2 linked regions of the Notamacropus eugenii genome follow. The protein of the gene in region 2 interacts with the protein of the main gene of each other region in a biochemical or structural test. Links are inferred from orthologs where the notes say so. Each region holds a gene or a part of one and is shown on either strand. Other genes may lie near its edges.

What was found.
Region 1: the proteins of TXNIP (region 2) and SLC2A1 form a complex in vitro, tested with the Homo sapiens proteins (2 studies listed by BioGRID). The link is inferred for Notamacropus eugenii from reciprocal best matches to the Homo sapiens genes TXNIP and SLC2A1.

What each region holds. Positions count from the first base shown.
Region 1 is NC_092876.1:74,284,074-74,295,103, forward strand, and holds the start of SLC2A1 (solute carrier family 2, facilitated glucose transporter member 1), read left to right. Parts: upstream 1-5,364; 5' UTR 5,365-5,740; coding exon 5,741-5,758; intron 5,759-11,030. UniProt on the Homo sapiens protein: Facilitative glucose transporter, which is responsible for constitutive or basal glucose uptake. Has a very broad substrate specificity; can transport a wide range of aldoses including both pentoses and hexoses.
Region 2 is NC_092873.1:303,292,505-303,303,372, forward strand, and holds TXNIP (thioredoxin-interacting protein), read right to left. Parts: upstream 4,450-10,868; 5' UTR 4,036-4,449; coding exon 3,786-4,035; intron 3,402-3,785; coding exon 3,329-3,401; intron 3,217-3,328; coding exon 3,069-3,216; intron 2,674-3,068; coding exon 2,571-2,673; intron 2,456-2,570; coding exon 2,199-2,455; intron 2,082-2,198; coding exon 1,925-2,081; intron 1,818-1,924; coding exon 1,672-1,817; intron 1,550-1,671; coding exon 1,514-1,549; 3' UTR 165-1,513; downstream 1-164. UniProt on the Homo sapiens protein: May act as an oxidative stress mediator by inhibiting thioredoxin activity or by limiting its bioavailability.

The sequences.
Region 1 (11,030 bases), on a different chromosome or scaffold from region 2:
TTAAGCTCTCAGTGCTACAGGCAACTCTCCAAGTCGATAAGATTCAGAGAAGTTGCCAACTTGAATCAGCAGAGGGAATTTCCTCACCCTAGGGTTACATATACCAATGAAATCAGAGGTCTAATCCTATCCCTATTGATATAATCATATGGCTTGAACTTTTGTGGGGGGGGTTATACAATTATGTTAGTTGTTTCTGTAATACTGAACCATTCTTGTAATACTGGTATAAATCCAACTTGATTCAGAATTTACAATCTATGATTGAAGAAACTGTATCATCTTCCTCCTCCTTTTTTTTCTTTCTCCTTCATCACATATGGTCTCTCTGTCCATGTGGGAATGAATGCTCTTTCCAAAGGAATATGATTTCACTTATATTTTATAAGATGTCTTGGGGCTTGGGAGCTAGAATTTTTAAAATTTCCTATGTATTTCATAATTTATTTTTTCAAAAAGCTGGGACAATTAACTCTTTGTCTTACACAGTTTTCATTTATGATTTCTTGAAATATAGTTGTGAGTAATAGTAGCTACCTTCTGGGGATCCAACTTGTTAGTCAAGTTGAGCAATGTTTCTATTTCTTCTCCTCCTCCTCTTCCTTCTTCCTTTATCATATGTGGTCCCTCTGTCCACATGAGGAGTCATACCCTTACATGTGGGTGCTCTATCCAAAGGAATACAATTTTCGGTTTCTTTTATCATTTTTTCAGGAAGCTGGGACAGTTAACGCTTTGTCTTATATAGTTTGCATTTATGATTCCTTGAAATATAAATCTGAAAAAACAGGCTTTGAAAATCCCATTATGATTCAAATGGAGCTACCTGACTAGGCCTTTAAACCCAAATTACTCTGGGTTTCATTAACTGACCAATAACAGTTCCCCAATCCAAACCTCTCTTGACCATTTTTGGGTTTTAATGGCTAAGAATGAAAGCGAGTACCAATTGTTTTCTATTCTGGCCAAAAACTCTAAGGGTCTTCTCCTCCCAGGTTGATTCCTTTGTAATGGCAAACTAGGTCATCTTCTCTGTCTCAATTCTTACCTAGCCCTTGATCATTTAATGGGTGTTGCCTCAGACAAACTGAGACTTGAGACCTTAGTTTAAAAAGGCCAAGATCACCCACTGTATCCTGGGCAATTGCCAGTTGTCTGACTTTTGTCTTGCCGTTGAACTCTGGTGACTGGAGGAGAGTGAGGCTGATGATTTTACACAGCTCTGCCTCACTTAAATCCAGTTTATTAGCAAGTCAAGACTCCACCCTTATGATGTCATTGGTCCTCCTGAAGATAAAGGATGTACTACAATTTTGACTCCTTTTCCTAAGGGCCAGTTTTTCATTCCTCTTGGGGAGAAACCAGTTTAGAATTGGAGGAAGGTTGTGAAAGAATGGAACTTGATCCATAGTTAAAAATGTCAGCCTGCCCCTTTCTAATAGTAGGAAACATCATAGACTCATAAGCTAGTCCTACTATAAGGGACCTTCTTGATCATGTTAGGTCACTTTACAGATGGAAAAGCAGAGGACTACAATAGAAAGGGGCTTGCCCAAGATCATATGGGGAGATCATGTCAGAACCTGAGTCAGAACCCAGATGTGTAGCCTCCTAGTCCTGGCTCTTTGTCCTGTAGCCTTGATCAAAGGAGGGCACTAAGTACCTAAAATCTAGAACAGAAGTGGGGGTAGGGGGTCAGGGTGAAAAGGTGATGAGCATGAGGATCATTGATGGCAAACTGCAAATTTCATTATGGGCTGACCCCAGAGGTCACTCATCTGCAGATGTTCCCCTTGCAGAATAGTTCTAGAAATAACCATTTTAGCTCTTCACCATCTGGTTCCAGCCTACCTTTCTTGGCTTATCACACATTATTACCCTTCACACTTTACCAGCATTCTAGCTAAACTGACCTATTTGCTGTTCTAGAATTCAGCATTCCATCTCCTCAGAAAACTCATTTCCTGCCCAGCTGCACTCATTTTGGCTTTTCTACCATGCCCCTATAACTTCATCACTGGGAAATCTTATAACCTTGCAAGATCCAATAACCCTTGATATTCATACCACATCAATACCCTCTGCCCCTCTGAAGGATGGAAACATAAACTCTTCCTAATACCCTCTCCTTGCTCAATTTCCTGTATATACTTGTCTGCTTACCTCTTTTTCTCCCCACAAACCCACCCCTCTCACCCCAGACAGAACATAAGCTCCTTCAGGGCAAGGAATGGTTTTTTGTTTTGTCAGGTAGATGATACATGGTAAATTAGACTGGATTAGAGATATTATCAGAGTCCCCACTGTGGCAACAGTTAGGGTTAGTTAACCTTGTTAAGCTGGGCAGCCAATCAAAATCTTAACACAATTCTCTATACTAGAGTATGAACTCCTGAGGAGCCCTGCCCCTGGTTTCTAGACTCCCCAAACTAGCTGCTGCTGCTAGCTCATCTTAGATGTCTGGGGCTTCATCACCCTACCATCCTCAAAGCCTTCTCAACCCAGAATGTTCCTCTGGAAGGCCCATCCTTTCCTCTCAGTGATGAGTTCCTCTAGTACCCTCCATTTTGTGAAGGGTCAGAGGGTGCCTTTCATTTCCCTCCTGGGCCTATTCCTGGCTCCTGGACTTCACAATCATGCCCCTGTGCTGCCTATCTTCATTCCCCACCACACACACCTTTTTCACCTCGTGTGTGTGTGTGTGTGTGTGTGTGTGTGTGTGTGTGTGTGTTCCTATATTAGAATATAAGTTTCCTGAAGACAAGGGCTCTTCCTTTCTGTTTATATTTGTATCAGTAGCACTTATCACAGTGTCTGACACTATTGCATATCCTTAATAAAAACTATATGTAAGCTTAATAAATGCTTCTTTCCTTGCTTGAGGTTAAGGACCAGTTATTCATCTTTATTAACTTGGGAACGTAGTTTATTATTTCTTTTATTTATAAATTTATTAACCTTGGGAAAATCATTTTCTTCCTCTGAGTTTGTTTCCTCTTCTGTAAAATGAGAGGACTTGATAAATCGACAGTCTCTAAGACTTCCTCCATTTCTGGCATCTGTTTTGTTTATGTTCTAAGGTTCCTTCTGGCTCTTACATTCTGTGTTCTAGGATCCTTTCTAGTTCTATATTTCATTAGGTAAGTCCCCTTCCAAGCATGACATTTCATGATTTCATGTGCTTCCTCCCCATATGGACATATTCTTGGCTATTCCATTACAACTGCACAACTCCCCCACCACAGAGCTGTATATAGTTGTATATAGATTTCATATTTGATGGGTAAATAATGAAAGAGGAGGGGAAGACTGATGATAAGCTTGAGGCACTGGGACAAAGGGGGACAGTAATTAGGCAAATCCAAAGGTCCCTGTCAGTCTATAAGGTCTTTAATAGCCTTTATAAACTCATCTAATATCTTGTTTACTTGAAGCCTGGAAGGATTTGTGTGTTGGAAAACACCCCTAAATCCCTAGCTGTTTGGCTCTCCCCTAGTCTCTGAGGGACCTCTCAGAGGATCTACTTTGAGAAAAAAAGAGACAGAGACAGAGAACAGAGGAAGTAAAAGGGATAGAGAAAGGAAAGGGAAAAAAAAGAGGAAGAGGGAGAAGAGGAAAGAGAAAGGAAAGATGATGAAAAGGAGAGGAAAAGGAAATGGAGGAGAGAAGGCAAGAGAAGGAGAGGGAAAAGAGAGGAAAGGGAAAAGTAGGAGAGGCAGATGAAAAGGACTTTCCTTTAAAGGTAAAATAGGCTGCTCCGGAGACTTACTCATCAGACTCAGCTCAGCATGAGAAGCACACACCCAGCCTCTCCCTGCCTGCTCCCAGGCTCCAGAGAGTAAATTGCCTCTGTCCACACACATTTCCCTCCCCCCGCTTCCCCCACTACCCACATGTGCTCACACAGGCACCAGCATAGCATGGACCTTTACTCTGCCTGCCCGACACCAAGCTCTGCTCCACCAACCCCAAAGGTTTCCCTTCCTTTGTTGGTCTTTTGAAATCAACTGAATCTCTAGGAATAGATTCGGGTTCAAGCCACGGATAACTCAGCTCTTCCAAGACAAAGTGTCCAGTGTGAGTCCAGCCAGGAGGAATGTGAGAAAGTTTCTGCATCTCAGCCTGCATGTTCCTTGGGATCTCAAAGAGCTATCTGGCTCCCCTCAATACAACCCTCACACCATCCCCCAAGTCACAGAGTCAGCTCAGAGTTTATTGTTAGGGTTTGCTTCAAGGGAGAGAGGGATGACCTGGCATGATTCTGTAAGAAGGCAGGATGATGCTACCAGGGAGATTCTGGTTGTAGTCCTGTATGTCACTAACTCTCTGTTTGACCTAGAGTAAGTAACCACACAGTGAACTTGTTTCCTCCTTCTTTAAAAGAGGGAGACCCTCTCCCTGCTCTCATAACCTCACAGACCAATTGTCTTCATGACATCCTGAGTTACTTAGTACATATTTTTTTACATATATATATGTGTGTGTGTATTTATATATACATGATATAGATGTAGATATGTTGCTCACCCACACATACACACACAGAGCAGAGACTTCCATTTTTGTCTTTGTAGCTCCCTCAACTCCCACCTAACAGAGTAGATTTGATTTGAATGGAAAAGTAATATATAATAAAGCTGTAGAAAAAAGTAAGGTATTATTTTAAGAGCAAGCCACTTCTCACTGAATCCCAGTTTCCTCAGTTGTCAAATGGAGAGATTAAATGATAGATAGCACTGATAGATGGATAGATCCGGCGCTGGAAGGGACATCAGAGGCCAGCTAATCCAAACTCCTCATTTTACAACTGAAGAAACTGAGGCCCAATATTTAGTGACTTACCCAAGGTCACATGGATAGTAAGCATCAGAACTGGGGTTTGAATCCAGGTACTCGAGCCATCTCTCTTTCCCCGAAGTCCTTTGGTGCCCCTACATCCCTCATGTTTCTTTGCTGCGCTAGAGTAATACCTGAATAGTTACAACCCAGGGGTTGTAACTGACCCAGCCAGGGGTCAAATGGCTGTGCCCCTTCTTGTTTCCACTATCATCCCAGTCCTTTCGTAGGGATGGCTTGGAAATGGTCCCTGACTGTCTTAGGGTAGCTCTTTCCGCGGGGTTATGGAAGAAGCAGGACCTGTCTTGGACACCAGAAATGAATGGACTCCAGCACCCTGAGACCAGGGTGTTTCTTCTTCCTAGGCAGACAGAGGCAGCATCCTAGGGTCCGGCAACCAGATTTCGGCCCCCCCAACCCTCCCCCGCGGAGGAGGAGCTTAGAGCTGGGCCTCTTAGTTAAGAGGCCAACACACCCCCAACACACCCCCTGGCTCCCACAGCCAATCAGAGAAAGAGAGACCCGGCCACACATTGCCTCTATAAACCACAGGCTCGGCATTCCCGGCAAGAGCGAGAGCGGGACGGCTCCAGTGGGGTGGACTTAATCAGCCAGGCCCCGGGAGCGCAGTACCAGAGAGGGGAAAAGGGGGAAGGAAAGAAAGGAGAAAAAGTAGTTGAGGGAAAGGAGAGGAGAAAAGAAAAAGGCAGAGAGGTAAGGAAAGAAAAGAGAGGAGAAGAAAAAAGTATAAAAGAGTAGGGAGAAAAGCAGAGCGCAGGGGAAAGCAGCGCGCCCCGGCTTCCCTCCCGAGAGCCCTGGGGATCCGAGCCGGAGCCGGAACCGGAGTGCAGAGAGCGGTGGCAGCCTAGGCAGCGGCGGCGGAGTCGAGCGCACGGCGAGAAACATGGACTCCGGAGGCAAGGTAAGAACCGCGCTTAGAGAACTAAGAACTAAGTCCCCACCGAGAGGCCGCGGGCCATGCCGCTCTCCCGCCCCCGGCCCCAGGCTAGGCGAGCGGCGTGCTCGGCTAGTGATGCGAGGGGAGGGGCTGAGTCACCGGCGGCTTCCGGCTCCGCGGGCTCAGATCCCGGAGTGCCCAGCAGTACCCCACCCCCCGGGGACTGCCGGGGGCCCCAGAAGGCTCTGGGGGTGGAGGCGAAGGAGCATGGGGGGCCTACGCAGCAGGTGGCTGTTCCCCAGTCCGGCCGAGCCTGGAGATTCGGGGCATCGCCGAGGGGAGCGTGGCGTGGCGCCCCCAGTCCGGCCCAGCCGCGTGGTGTGTGCGTAGAAGGCCCTCTTGGGCTCCTGACGCCTAACGTGATCCGGTGCCGAGACCTGCATGCCCAGGGAATGTCCGGGGAAGTGGGGACTTGGGGCCGTGGCGGGGGTCGAAGGGCCCCGGGCTAGAAAGGTGCGGAGCGCGCGCGCCTTCCTTCGCTTCCCGAGGCGTGGTGCCTCCGCCCCTGTCCCCGCCTCTCCGGACTGGCTAGGGGCCAGCCGCCGGCGGGAATTTGAGGGAATCTGCGCCCCCGGCCCAGTCTGGCGGCTGCACTCCCCCCACTCCCTGGAAGCCACCAGTTTGACCGCCAGGCCTCTTCTGGCACAGTGGAGAGCCGAGGCCGTCATTCTGAGGTCGAGTTCTGCCTCTGCCAATTCCTGGCCGTGTGACTGTGGGCAAGTCGCTTCCCCTCTCTCTGGTCATGTGAAATAAGGGAGCTAGAGTAAGATCCCTTAGGTCCCTTTTCCCTCTCCTGCTGTGTGATCGGCGCAGGGCGCAAGCGCTCCAAGCGGGGGGCCGGCTGGGTGGGCGAGGGCTGACACTAAACCTTGGAATGGAAGATCTTGTCTCGGAGTCAGCCCTGGGCAAAGGAGAGACCTGGGGCTGGGTGGGGGCCCTGGTGATGTCAGCTGGGCAAACAAGCCTCTCGAAAAGGCACATCTGGCGAGTGGAAATTTATAAACTGATTGAAAGAAACCAAATTACAGTTGTGAAAGGGGAGGGCGCGTACGTGGGACTGTGAACTAGCAGGGAAACAGTTCCAGTCCCTCTCACTGCCACCCCCAAGTTTAGGGAGGTGGCGGGAAGTTTGGAGACCCTCATGGTCAGCAGGGAACAAAGGGTCCTATAGGGATTCCTAAGCGCGAGGCACTCCCCCATCTCTGACCTCGGTGGTCCAAGATTCCTCAGCTACACCGCAACTCCCTCCTTGCTGGGCCTTGGTGGGGCTCGGGCTCCTGACTTCGCCTCACCTCTCCCCAGGAGCCGAAGGAGAAAAGATGCTCTAGGACTCCGGTCCTAGACTCCAAGGGGAAGGACTTTTAGCTAATGTGGCTGTGTCGGGGAGGAGGGAGAGGGGGCGGGCGAGCCGAAGTTGCACGTTCCGCACGCACTAAGCCTTCTCTCTGGGGCTGGCCTCTCCCTGGCAGAGCCCTCCCCCAACTCTCCCACCCTCCTCTCCCTCCTGAGCTCTGTAGCTACCGGAAATTGGGGTGAGGGGCTAGGGGGGGAGGGGCTTCCCAGAGTTTGCTTCGGATTGGCCACACAGGCCGAGCCCCCTCTCCCACCTTCAACTACAGCCCCGAAGCTGCCCGACTGCAGATCCAGACATTCACAAGACCGGGTGGTCTCTTGGGAGAAGGAATCATAGTCCGGGGGAGGCAGGGACACACCTCAACTCCCTACCCCCTGTCCTTCTCTTGCTTCTTGTCTGAGGGACTGGAAAGATACAAAAAGGAGAAAGTTGAAGGCTGAGTGAGTTCTAGCTTCCTGGCAGAAGGGGAAAGGGGGATGGGAGAGGAGTAAAGAGACAGTCTCATCTCTCTTCCCCTCATAGGTCCTGGAAGGATCTGAACCCCACACCAAGCACAGCTCAGTCTAGGTGGGCACCCAGAGGGGCAGCAGGGAGGCCAAAGTGTCAGGATCTGGTTTACCAGGACTCTCAGATTGAACCCCACCCATCTTAGGGAGAGCACTTCCCGGGAACGACTGGCGTAGTTTTTCCTAGGGATACCTAGACAAATCTACCCCTCCGAATACTCTCACATGCTTCATCTCCAGGTTAATTCCTTTTCTCTTCACCTTTCAGGTTGGGGAGGGGGGGAAGCACTGAGGACCCTCTCAATCAGGAACAAATTACAACCTAGAGCATATCACTAGTGTGGGGAAAAGGTTTTCACAAAGCTTTGTGGAGGGAACATTGGACTTGGAGACACAACACCTTGAGTTCCTATCTCTACCACTTGTTGGCAATATAACCTTAGGGCCACCTTCTGAAGTTACCTCCTGAAGTGAAGGGGATGGGAACAGGTGCTACCAAGGTACCTTCTTACCTCTAACGTTTTGTGATCTATTTATTTTGTACGTAGTGGGAGAATTAAGAGGCCCAGAGGAAGGATCGAGGTTAGGATTAGAACCTCAATCTTCTGATATCTACTTCAGCTCTTTCCCATGAGCCCTCAGGCCCTACAATGCCCCCCTCTCTATACCATGCTCTACGTGTGTGTCTGTTTCTACACACATCCATGAACTGAATAAGGTTACAGTACCTCCCTCTTCCTCAGGCCATAGGTTCTTCAGTTTAGAACTAGAAGGAAAATCCAAGTTCTAGTGCTCTCATTTTACAGATGGGTAAACCGAGGCTCAAAGAGAGAGGAGGTATAACTTGCCTAAAGTCATACCAGGATTTACATATCAGAGCCAGGATTTGAATCAGGACTTTAACTCCAAATTCCAGCCCTCTCTCCATTATACCATCCTGCTTTATTATATTATCTAAACATGAGGGCTACTTTCAATATGACTCAAGAGAAATAGGGTTTTAATGAGGTTAAACTGTTTATATTCCTACATGGGAAGGTGATACTTGTAACTCTTAAGAACTTTATCATTATTAAGGCTTGTATTTGAAAGTAGACAGAGGGTACCATGTGAGTTGACTATGATGGGATGATTTTTTGAAAATGAGAGCTGTGCTAGGAGAAGGGGGAAGGGAGAGGTGGAGTGGGGTAAATTATCTCACATAAGATAGGTATGAAAGAGCTATTATAGCGGAGAAATAGATGGGGGGGTAGCAATGCTTGCACCTTAATCACTGGAATTGGCTCAAAGAGGGAATACATAGTTGGGTATAGAAATCATCTTATCCTACAGGGAAGTAGGAGGGGAAGGGGATAAGGTGAGGGGCTGATTGAAGACAGGATGGATTAAGGGAGGCAGTAGCCAGAAGCCAAAGACTTTTGATGAGGGTAAAAAGAGAAGGATAAGCAGGGGGAAAAAAATAAGACAGTAATCATAACTCATGAATGTGATGAACTTACCCATAAAACAGACTAGATAGCAAAATGGATTAAAAACCAGAATCCAACAATACATTTACAGGAAACACTTTTGGAACAAAGAAATACAGTAAAAATAAGGGGCAGAATCTCTTATTCAGATGAGGCAAAAAAGAAGGGCAGGGAGAGGGTAACAATCATGATCTCAGACAAAGCAAAAGCAAAAAAAAAAGATCTAATTTTAAAAGATAAGCAGGAGAACTGCATTTTATTAAAAGGTACTACAATGAAATAATATTAGTACTAAACATATATGTACTAAATGGCATACCATCCAAATTCTTAAAGGAAAAGTTAAATGAGTTATAGGCGGAAATAGACAGTAAAGGGTCTCAACTTTCCCCTCTCAGAACTAGACAAATCCAACCACAAAGTAAACAAGATATTAAGGAGAGGAATAGAATTTTAGAAAAGTTAGATATGGTAGACCTCTGGAGAAAACTGAATGAGAATAGTAGAAGTATACCTTCTCAGTTGTACATGACATGTACACAAAAACTGACGATGCATTAGGGCATAAAAATATCACGATCAAATGCAGAAACGAAGAAATATTAAATGTATCCTTTTCAGATCATAATAGAATAAAAAGTTACATTCAATAATGGTCCTTGCAAACATAGATTAAGAATTAATTGGAAACTAAATCTAACCCCCAAAATAAATGAGTCAAATGAATCATAAAAACAATCAATACTTTCATTAGAGAATGGCAATGAGATAACATAACAAAATTTATAGGAAGCAGCAGTACGTTGAGGAATCCCTAAATATGTCAATGAAATAGAAAAAAACGCATTAATTGGGCATGCAATTTTTAAAAATAGAAAAAGAACAAATTAAAAATCCCTAATTAAACACCAAAATGGAAATCCTAGAAAATCAAAGGAGGGATTAATAAAATTGAAAGAAAAAAACATTGAACTAATAAGCAAAATTGAGGAACTATTTTTTTTGGGGGGGGGGACGGGAAGTAGATAAACCACTGGTTAGTTTGATCTAGAAAAAATAGACTTGAGACCTGATCTAGAAAGTTGCAGGGAGCAGGTCCCATCCTGATATGGCAGCTTCACCCAGAGTAAGTGACCAAATTTAAGGGCTGCAACCAAGCCTTCTGGACAGTGGGCCCCTTGGAGTTAAATTTAGGGAAATGGTGATTGAGGTGATTCAGTAGTTACTTAAGAATTTAAGATTGTATGGGGAATGAGCCCTTCCTGATGATGAGAGGAAGGGAGGGTGCCTCCCATCTAGGGTTCAGACCTTTCATCCAGGCTTCTACCTGGCTCTTTCTATGTGTCCGTAAAGGCCAAGGCCTTCAGTATAACAGCTTAGCTGGGGGAATCTGTTGGGGGGAAGACTATTTGTCATAAATGTTAGTTTTCATTTAAACTGCTAGTACCAGAGAGGCTGGCGCGAACCCTGAGACAAGAACTTCTTTGTTTCTTCATTCCTGTATTTGCCTTGTAGAATGACCCATACTTTTTTGTGCTTTTTCAGGGACTAGGAATTAAATTAGTCTCAGCTGTTAGTAGAATCAGGAGACTAGGGTTCCTACTTCTGTCCTTATTCACTTTGTGACTTTATCTATATTAGTTTCCCACTCTGAACTTGTTTTTCCATCTGTAAAGTAAGGGTTACTCTTTTATCCAGTGATTCTGGGACTCAAGTGAGAATATATACATGTAATCTGTAACAAAGAGGGAAAGGACTTTAGAGAATTTATTCTGTTTATTTATTTATTCTTTCAAGAATTATTCTGTTTAACCCCTTCATTTTAGAGAAAGGTAAACTGAGACCCAGAGAAGAAATCAAACATTTATTGGGAAAGGGAAGGGAAAACGCAAGATCTTGAATACCTA
Region 2 (10,868 bases):
CAGTTAGTGGTGTATGTAGGGTCACCCATGCTTTCAAATCCTCTATCCAGTTATCCCTGTCAGTAGCTAGGGCAGTTTCTAGAACAGTGTTTAAAGATAAGAGTGTATAAATCAAATACTTTTTTAATCTCTCCAAAAACTTCCACCCAAGAAAAACAGAAAACTTTTATTTTTATAAAATTTTTATTTTTAAAAAAAGACCTCCAAGGAGTTGAAAATATCTCTGATAAAAAGTACAAAATATAATTTTTTAACATACAAAAAGATAAAACATTTAAAAAAAAAAAACCAAAACCACGTTCAGTCCATTTTCTAAGTTGTACAGTTCACAGATAAGAGTGTGGGGGGGGGGGGGGCTCAGTGCTTTGACACAAGACAGTAGAGAAAGTGCTGATTGCTTAATTAAGTGCTGAGGGCTAAGGGGAAAAAGGAATTATTCAAAACTCCTCTTTTAACACTGGGAACTGTGTTCAAGGGTGGGAAAGCTGCCCGATTCTGATTTGTTTCCTAAGAGGTTATTTGGCAGCATGATCCCAGCTTTGGAGTGTTCTGGTAGCCTCTTTTCCAATTTGCAGGGCTGGGACTGAAGGACCTTCCCTTAATAACTACTCCTCAGAAAGCTACCAGTAAAGACAAGAATTTCATCACAATCATTAGTTTTCCCTTAACCATCCCAGACCCGTTAGTTGAATGCTTAGGGGGAACTAGGAGGAAAATCCCCAATGGAAAAGAGAACAAAAGTGCTAAGAACAATACTTCAGAATTAACTCCAAGGGAGTCCCCTCCTACCACCTACCAACACTGAACCCAAACTCCTAAAGAGGAAGAACAAAGTGCTTAGGCACAGGCTTTCACCAGCCTCCCTCCTCTTTGCCTTTGCTTTGAAACAAGGATAACGTATCATCCGAGAAGTGCAGGGGATCACACTTCCCTTTCTCATCAGGAGAAATTTCTAAAAAACTGGGAGCACCTTTAAACATATACATACAGTGGAGATGTGAGAAGGGCTATACTCATTTCAGGAAGCCTCTTCTTCCCACCAAAATTTTGGCCATTATTTCTATAAAACCTTTCCCAGATCATTAAATCACCTTTGCCTGGCATGGTGATTCCCAGAAGTCAACTTTTTGTGATTGCAATCAATACCCCACCCTCCCCAGAGATCCTGGGAAGACCAAACTAGAGGCCATCCCAACCCTGACCAAACTACTGAAAACCCCTCATATTTCAGGGGAATTCTGAGGAAACGGGTCACAACAGAGTCCAAACCTCCCACAAACCAGCATACATCCTCTCTCTATGACACAACAGCAAGATCGGCTGAGAGGGTAGACGCACTTTGGCATCTGTTTTAGGAGATGACGGCCTGCTTATCTCCTAACATCAGGGAGATAGAGGTGAAAGGAAACCCATCCCCAACAGTGGGTAGAGACCATCATGCCTCTGAAAAAGCAGTCCAGGAGAGACAGAAAGAAACAGGTAGATAAACAGCTGCTTCTCTTCTTTGGTACATTCACTGCACATTGTTGTTCACAATACAGGGATCCACCTAGAAGGGAAAAAAGAAAGATGGTTTTAGATTTAGAGGGTAGGAGAGAAGCAGGGGAATCAGAATATGTAAGTTGGGAACCCCCACCTCCACCTTCATTCAATGAAGGTAATAATTCTCACCTCAGTGTAAGTGGGTGGAGGCATAAACTTGAACTGGGATGCATACATAAAGATGGGGCTGTCCAGAGAGCTATCATCAAGGAGAGGAGTGGTGGGGCTCTCCAGTCTGTGATCTTCAGGAATAATATCCGTGTAGCAAGGAGGTGCTGCATAGAGAAAATAGAGAAAATAAACAACTCAGACAACCAAATTCTGATTTCCAGGAATCTTTGGTGGGAAAATAGGAGTACAGGGGTATACTACTTTGGCTCACCTTCTGGAGTGTCAGGGATGTTTAGATCCACCCAACTCATTTCAGAGCTGGTTCGGCTAGCCATGCTGGATGTCCGACTACTGAGTCCTGACCTGCTGCCGATGACTAGGGGCAGGTCAAGAATGACCTTCTTAGATCCAGGGACACTGACATAGATCTATATATAGGAAAGAAAAAAATTGTTTCTGTTACACCAGAGTGCCATGACATATAAATATAAAACTGCTTGATTCAATGATCAATTTACCCTAATCCCAGAGACAGACTCACTCACCAATAAAGAGTATTCAACACGAAGGATGTTGCAGCCAAGGATGGAGGGTTTAATCTTCTGTACACGAAGGCTTTTGCCACGCCATGATTCACAGGTGCCAGAAATGATATGGTTGCCTCGAACAGAAGATAGCTTTTGGGTCAACACCTTGGTCTGGCCATTGGCAAGGTAAGTGTGGCGGGCAACAATAGCAGCCTTTGGCATAACGATTCGGGAACACGTATTCTCAAAGTCAGCATTGATGGAGATTTCATCACCTGACAAAAGCATTGATTTTTGTTACTAAAGACTGTATAGCTGATGATTTATGGCTCATAACCCTTCCCCAACACTATGCAATAGCTGCCTCTCCCAAGCCCAGACTTCTCTTACCTTCACAAAATCCTTTTCGGTCAATCCGGGCAGAGACAGATACCCTCCCATCAGGAATAAACAGGCAAGAAACTTTTTTCTCCTTTTTGGCAGACACAGGTGCCTGAATAGGGAAAATAAAGAAATCTTTGTTAAAGTTTCTGAGAATTGCCAAGTAAAGATGGCTCCTGCTTTTCATTATGAGGACCTCTATCTCCTGAGATTCTAGTCCATTATCATGTAATATTAGATAAGACCTGCAGTATCATCATCTACCATAATTATACTCTCCTCTAAGCTCTGCTTGAACATCTTTGTCAATGGTCATGACAACCAGGTTTTGTAGGGTTTAGTGAGACTATACTGCTGTCAGAAACTTTAAGAGTTAAATGTTTATTCACTTTCATTTTAAGCTAAAGATTAGATTTTTATTTTCAGTATACGCCTTGTCAAGAGGCAGGGTTCCTGCTTCCTAAGATCTCTCACTACTCAAGACTTAAGCCTATTGGGAAAGCTTACCATCAAATCAGGAGTATTAACATCCACTGGATCTACCACTTCAAAGTACTTCTTGGTTTCTTGAGTTGGCTGGCTGGGACGGTCTAGGAAAGCCTTTACCCAGTAGTCTACACAGCCATACTTCCCCTTGAATGAGGTTCCCAGAGGCCTAGGGTGGAATAAAGAGAACGATTCCTTTTAGATTACTCAACCATCAAGAAACCTTGGGTGCCTAAGGGAAGGGAGGTTTTAAAGAAAAGGACAGCAGAGCTAACACCTACCCTTGAGGAAGTTCAAAGCCGAACTTGTACTCATACTTGTTTCCAGGTCTCAGGATCACAAACTCATCGTTAGCTTCAGGGAAAGGAAAAAAAAAAAGATCCACCATTAGACTTACTAAAAAAGTGGTACTGATCTTATTTTAAATGCAGAAATGCCTAAACAATATAAGGACCATTTTCTGAAACTAACTACATTCCAGTCTCCCGAAAGGAAAGGTTAATGATGTAAAGGAGTCCAAAGCGCCGACCCTGAAACCAGCTCTAACACTGAGACTTCGTTAAGCATCCAAGGCACTGCAGCTTAGCTCAAGCGAAGGCTGGGAATACTCCTCACTTGGCCAGATGCAAGGACAAAGATTCAGCTCCCCCCGCCCCCCCCCAGAACAGTGCCCCAGGGCTCCCTTTCTAACAGCTGGGGCCCTCCCCCCACCCCCGCCCTGCAGGGCGCGCCCCTTACCTGCGGGCTGGTCTTCCAGCAGGAGCGTGTCCTCGTAGCGCAGGTAGTCCACCACCTGCTTGCACTGCTGCGAGCCCTGCAGCCACAGCACTTTGGCCACTCCGCAGGCCAGGATCCTGACCGCCTTGACCCGGGTCACCTCGCACACCTCCACCACCACCCGGCCGGCCACCTTCTCCCCACTGCTGTACACCTTGTCGGGGTCGCTGAAGACCACCTCGAAAGTCTTGATTTTCTTGAACATCACCATAGCTGGGGGTTGGGTCACTCAGAGAACGGGGCAGACAAGGAATAAAGTTTCTCGAGAGAGAGAGCCGAAGGAGGATTTAACCTTTCCGGTTAAGCGGAGGACGGACAGTTCGGTCTCCCTGGTCTGGATGGGCTTGTCCGCTGACAGGCTGGGCGCTTGGATTCTAAGAAATCGAAGAGCCTCTCAAATCAGCCTTTGCAAACTTTTAAAAAGTAGAAAAGCCTAGAAAATATAAGTCAAGGGACTTCGAAAGAAAAAAAAGGCTTCGTGTCTGAGACCAAAAGGAGTTTTAAGGAAATGCCCCTCCCCGAAATCTGGGGACGAGAAAGCACAGGTCCGAAGGCAGCGCTCTAGGGATTGACTCAAGGAGCAGGCGGAAACAGCCCTATATAGGGCTCTAACTGTCGGAGCCACGCGAGGGCCTGCGAGGTGGCTCGTGCTGTCCTCGTGCACAATCTTCCCATTGGCTGCCTTTTCCTTGTTTACCAGGGACACAGCCAATCAGCGCGCGGCCTGGAGCGCGTGGACACAGTGTGCCCCTGGCGGGGTAAACGGTTGTTGTGCACGGTTTCCTCCGAGGAAGGAGGGGGCGGAGGGGTTCTTGAGCGACGTCCCTGGAGACAAATGAAAGGAGGGCGAAGGGATTGCCCCTAAGCCTATCAGCGTTCTAATAGACGTCGGAGGGCGGGTGTTGATGTCAAGGACTGGCGTTTTTGGGTGAAAGGGGAAAAGCCCCCCAGGGGCATGGCAGGCTTCTCTTTAGTGCGCGAGGCTAACTTTAGGGTAACCCAACCTTGCTCAGGCCCCTCAGATCTCGAGTCATCTCTGACTGTCCTCTGTTCACCCAATTTAGGCGACTTTCCTCAAAGACATTCCCACAGAAACCCTGGAAAGTTCTCCATTAAATTGAGAATTGAAGGAATGGGGACGGAGGGAGAATTCCTTTTTCAGGCAAACCCTCCCCAGAAAACTTAGAGAAAAAAGGGGGGGGTCACTGGTGTCTGTCAACTTTCTCTTCAGTCTGAGCCCCCAAATTGGACATTGGGGGGCGTGAGTTTTCTCACCCCCCTTTCCTTCAGCTCCTGGCTTCCTCACAAGGATTATTGCCTTTCCTCACCTTCTTTTCCCCCTCCCCTCCTCAACCACCCTGTTCTTTTTGAAAGGGAAACAAGAAGGGTGTGTGGCTTAACCCCCCATCTCTGCGTCGTCTTTCCCTGTAGAGCAGGGGGGACACTGTGTCCATGCCCCCATGTACCTGGTCGCCCCTTTGAGGAATACAGCGAATATAGTGCGTTTATCCCCAAGCATCTGCTTGGCCAATCTTGCTTCACACCTGACAAAGCCATAGGATCCTCCACCCATCTCTAATGCCTGACCTAAGCGCTCTCTGAGCCAGCTGGCACCCCCTGCTCTGGCACCCTCTGCCCTCCCTACACGCTCCCGCAGCCCCCCAAAAAGGGGGAAAACCAACCTCAAGATGAAGGAGAAAAACTTGTGTCTCAGCTCATGGAAGAAGCAATCCTAAGCACAACAGAACAGTTGTTTTTTTCAAGTATATATATGATTATTGATCACTACTTTTTCCAAAAGCCTTTAGAAAATGAAGAAATGAAGGGAAGAGGAAGCAGATTTGGAAGTCTCCAGAAAGTCTAACTAATATCCTATTGTGTGCTGTGCTTTCAGGAGGCTTAATTTGGATCTCTCTATCAGGTGGGTTTTCCCCTGAATGAGTTGGCCATAAGATCTTAGAAGATGACTATTGAAAGTTAGTCCTACTAAGGCCAAAAACTCTGTTATAATTAGAACTTTTATTTTTAGATGCAGTTCATCTTTCCTTTCTTAGGCTCCCTGTCTTTTCTATTTGTGGATATCTGAAATTTGCTTCAGTCCTCCTGGTCAGAAGGGGATGCTGATGTCCAAAAGTCTGAGAACATATAGAAAGGCAGTAGAATGGAATGGAACCCCACTTCCTCCACTATTTTTTTCCTATGATGATAAGGACCTTAATTCCTTCATCTCACACCCCAATTGTGATAACACCCTCAGGCTAGCAAATTACAATCGAAGAGGAGAAAGTTCCGGGATGAGGCTTGATGACTTAATTGGTAAGAAAGAACGGAATTAGCCCCAGGAACATCTTGATCCCAGGGGGTGTGTGGGTTAGAAGTAGCACTCTGTTGTACAGTTACCTAACAAAATAGAGGGTGTTTTTGTCAGTGAAGAGCAGTGATTGAGTTCCCAGGTCAGTCTTGGTGTGATGTTTCACAGTCCTTAACGCTGAAGGATTTGCTTTTAGATAGTAGAGAACGAACAAAAAGAAAAAAACAACATAAAAACACAAAATACATCAGACTGTAAATTAAAGTTTAATTATTGTGCATATGAGTATCGAAGGTAGAGAAGAGCTACAGAGTAATTGAAGCTGTAGTATTATAGAAGACTTCTTGGAGAAGTTAAAAACACTGATATTTATCTGGGCATAACCATGAAATGCTGAATCCAACTCTTTTTCCATATCCTACAATAAATCTGTCTTTGTCCTGGGTATTTTTCTTACGTATTTTTCTGTTATCGCCACTCTTTGCAGACCTGAGTGGTATGGATATGCTCCCTGTTATGCCAAGCTTGCCTTGAATGTCAAAAAACTATTTAGCTTTGGCAGTAATAACTTGCCAGGGCCTTCGGCCAAGATATTTTCTGAAACGGCACCCTCAACAACAGGGTTGTTTACAACCTTTCCCTTGATAACCTGCTAAAAAAAAATAAAATCAGCCTCCAGAATCTTCCCCCCAGTTCTTGGGTTGAGGAAAGAGAAAATTCTGCAAATTCCTTTTCCCAAAAGAAGCGCATTGAGGGTACAAGAAGGGGATAAACTTGGGAGGGGCTGCACAGTAGTGCTAGGTACAAGAACTTTGCATATTAGTGCACCTTTTTCTTTTCAGGCCTCGGTTTTCTTCACTTGAGTCAGAGGGAAACTAAAAAGTGATTGTTGTTTGTTTGCTTTTCTTTGGGTGGAGGTGTTGAATACAAGCCAAGATCTTAAGGAATAAGGTGTCCTCACTGATTAGTCTGCTGTTGGGCAGAGACAAGTTACAAGCTGCCCTGTTCAACCTCAGGCCTTGGCCTCAGGGATTTAAGAAATCTAGTAGCCTCAGCCCATGAGTTTGTTGCTCCACTATGCACCTCCAGTTGTATTTGTGACTCCCAATATCCATAACTTCCCTCTCTGACTACTCATTTAATTTCTTTCCCTCCTTCCTCTCCCTATCCCTCCCCCACCTTTTTAGAGGGAATTTCACTTTAGGGGAAAATAGGAGGCCTGGATGAAAGAGAGGGCATCTCATAACTATGAAGATTGACCTTGGTGGTAGTAGTAGAGTTAAGGATACTTGTAAAACAGAATTGAATTTGGAAGAATTTTTTCTAGTGTAGACTTAACCAGGCCTCTATCAATATTCAGTGAGAGCCGTGAATATAGGACCATAAGGTCATAGATTTAGAGCAGGGAAATAATTCAAAAGACAGAGCATTCTTTTTGTTTCCTATTCTGTAAAGGGATATGCTACAACTAGTTCAAGTCCTCATTACTTCTTAACTAGAATACTGTCTTATCCTAATTGGTTGCCCCTTCTCTAATTTATCTTTGAAACTACTATCAAAATAATTTCCTTGTATATAAGATGTTATTCTTTTTAAAAAAACCTTTAGATGCTCCCTGTTGTTTATTGAATAAAATATATGCTTCTCATCCTGTCATTCAAGACCCCAACATAGCTTTAAGCATCATCACATACTAGTTCCCCCTGCACTTTATATTCTACCCTAAGTAGATTTTTCAGTGATTCTCAGCTTTGTCTTGCCCTTCCTTCCTTGCCTTTATATATGATAGTCCTCAAAATAAAGCCCTCCTCCCCCCCCTTTTTTTTTTGGACCTAGCCTCTCTTTGAAGAGTGCCTCTCATTATTATATCCCTTGCTTGGGCTTGGCAGCCCTGTGCTTTTCTGAAAATGTATATATGCTATGTTTATATAGCCAACATCCTCTAGCCATTTTGTGATATCAGAGACAGGAAAACCACTTCCCCCAATAAAACTCACAACTTTTGCCTGCACCCTGGGTGTATGTATCCCTTCCCCAGGTGTCCTAGAGTTGCCCTGCTTGTATCCATCCCTTATTGCTCTTGGCTCTCTGTTCCTGCCCCTGGGTATCTCCTTATACCTTTCCTTATATGAGTCAAAATGTAGTCAAAATAAAGTTTTATTGTTAAGCATTTACTGTCTTATTCTTTTGTGAAATTTTGGAGATCTCAAACTGCTATGTCACTAGGACAGTATATTTATGCACCCTGAGGCAGTGAAAAGAACAATGGATTTGACATTCAAAATCCTTCACACGTTGGCCCTATCTACCTTTTCCGATCTCTTAAATTTTATATTCCCACACCCTTCCATTAAGTGACTTTGGTTTTCCTGCAGTTTTTCTAACAAGACACTTATCTCTCCAGTTGGGCATTTTCACTGGCTATCCCCATGCCTGGAAATCTTTTCTTTGTCATCTCTGTCTCCTGGCTTCCTTTAAGTCTTAGCTGAAATCCTACCTTCTACAAGATGCCATTCCTCATTCTCTTTAGTTCAAATTTCCATACTGTCTAACCCAGTGGACAGACAACTTCTTGAAAGCAGGAACTGTTTTTTGCTTTTCTTTTTTTCCCCAGAACTTACACAGTGCCTGGCACATAGTAAACACTTAACCAATGCTTATTGACTGACATCTGACTGATCCTTCAAGCACTAAGTAAATGATCTTATAAAAAGGGAATAGGATCCACCTGGTTGCCTCACACATACAATGATTTTCCCTCACAACTCTGCTTATTGAAATCCTTTCCTTCCTTCATGGTGCTTAGTAAATGCTTAGTAATTGTTTAATTTCCAGTCAATTACCAAATCCTGCTGACTCAGTCTCTAAAATTAATATCCAACTCTCTCCTTTCACTGTCAAATGTCCCAATTTTCAAAAAAAGAAAGAAAATAGTGCCTGCAAACTAGAAGATAGTAACCTTGACTTTAATTTTTGGCAAAACTTTAGAGCACAGTTGAAGGGTTGGTTTGTGAACATCTAGAAAAAGAAGCACTGATCACTAAGAGCCATCCAGTATAGCTTCATCAAAGACAAATCATACCATACTAATCTTTCTCAAGAGAATGGCTAGAAAAATCGTCTTAAATTTCAGTGAAGCATTTGACATAGTGTTTCATTTTATACTTTTAAAACTCCACATAGTCTGGCTCCAACCTATCTTTCCTGGTTCATTGAACATTAACCCCACACTATGATATCCAGCCAAATGAATCTCTATCTATTCCTCATAATACTCCATCTCCCATATGTCTAGAATGTGTCACTTCTCCCATCCCCACCTCTTATCTCTGTTTTGGAGTCTCTGTCTTCCTCTAAGTCCCAGCTCAATCTCTCTCTCTCTCTCTCTCTCTCTCTCTCTCTCTCTCTCTCTCTCTCTCTCTCTCTATATATATATATATATATATATATATATATATATATATATATATATATATACACACACACACACACACACACACATACATATTAACTTTGTATTTATGCTGTATATATTTTTATATGTATTTATCTTCTTCACTGAAATGTAATCTCCTTGTGAGAAGGGATCATTTGATTCTTTTTACTTATGTTCCCCAGTGATTAGTACAGTGTTTGACATATAAAACATGCTTAATAACCACTTGTTGATTGGTTGGTCTTTGTGGACAAATAGAGAGATATGGGCTGGCTGATAGTACAGTTGGGTAGATTCAGTGATGACCTAAATAATGGTCATTAATGATACAATGTCAACTTGGAGATCTATCCAAAGGATCTAGACCTGATCCTATTATGGTGAACATTTTTTAAAGTATTTTAAGGTTTGTGAGGTACTTTACAAATATTAACTCATTTTATCCTTAAAACAATCCTGGGAAGTAGGCACTATTATTAGTCCTATTTTATAGACAAGAGAACAGAGGGCATAGAGGTTTTAGGTAATTTGTTCATATTCACAAAGCTAGTAAATGTCTGAGTCCAAATCTGAACTCAAGTGTTTTTAACTCCAAGCTTACCTCTGTGTTCACTAGGCCACCCAACTCCCTGTAATGACCCCAATATTAAATACCAAATAGAAGAGTTTTTTTTTTTTGGCTGGGTGAAATCATTTACTTTATTTTTTTTATAAATTAATTCATTTGTTTTTGGTTTTCAGCAATCACTTCCATATGTCTTAAATTTTCTCCCTCTCCCTTCCCCCCTCTCCCCAAGATGGTATGCAATCTTATATGAGTTCTACACTTACATTCTTATTAAACACAGTTTCATATTTGTCATGTTGTGTAGAAGAATTAAAAAGGATGGGAAAAACCATGAGAGAAACCAAAACAAAACAAAGCATAACACCAGAGAAAATAGTCAGCTTCATTCTGCGTTCCAATTCCATAGTTCTTTCTCTGGATGTGGAAACCATCTTGCCTCGAGTCCTTTGGGAACGTTTTAGGTCCTTGCATTGTTGTGAAGGGCTAAGTCTATCAGAAACAGTCCTTGCACACTGTGGCTGTTACTGTGTACAATGTTCTCCTGGTTCTGCTCGTTTCACTTTGGCATCAGTTCATTTAAGTCCTTCCAGGCGTCTCTGAAGTCCTCCTGTTCATCATTTCTTATAGCACAATAGTATTCCATTACATTCATATATCACAATTTGTTCAGCCATTCCCCATTGATGGGCATCCCCTCAATTTCCAGGTCTTGGCCTCCACAAAGAGAGC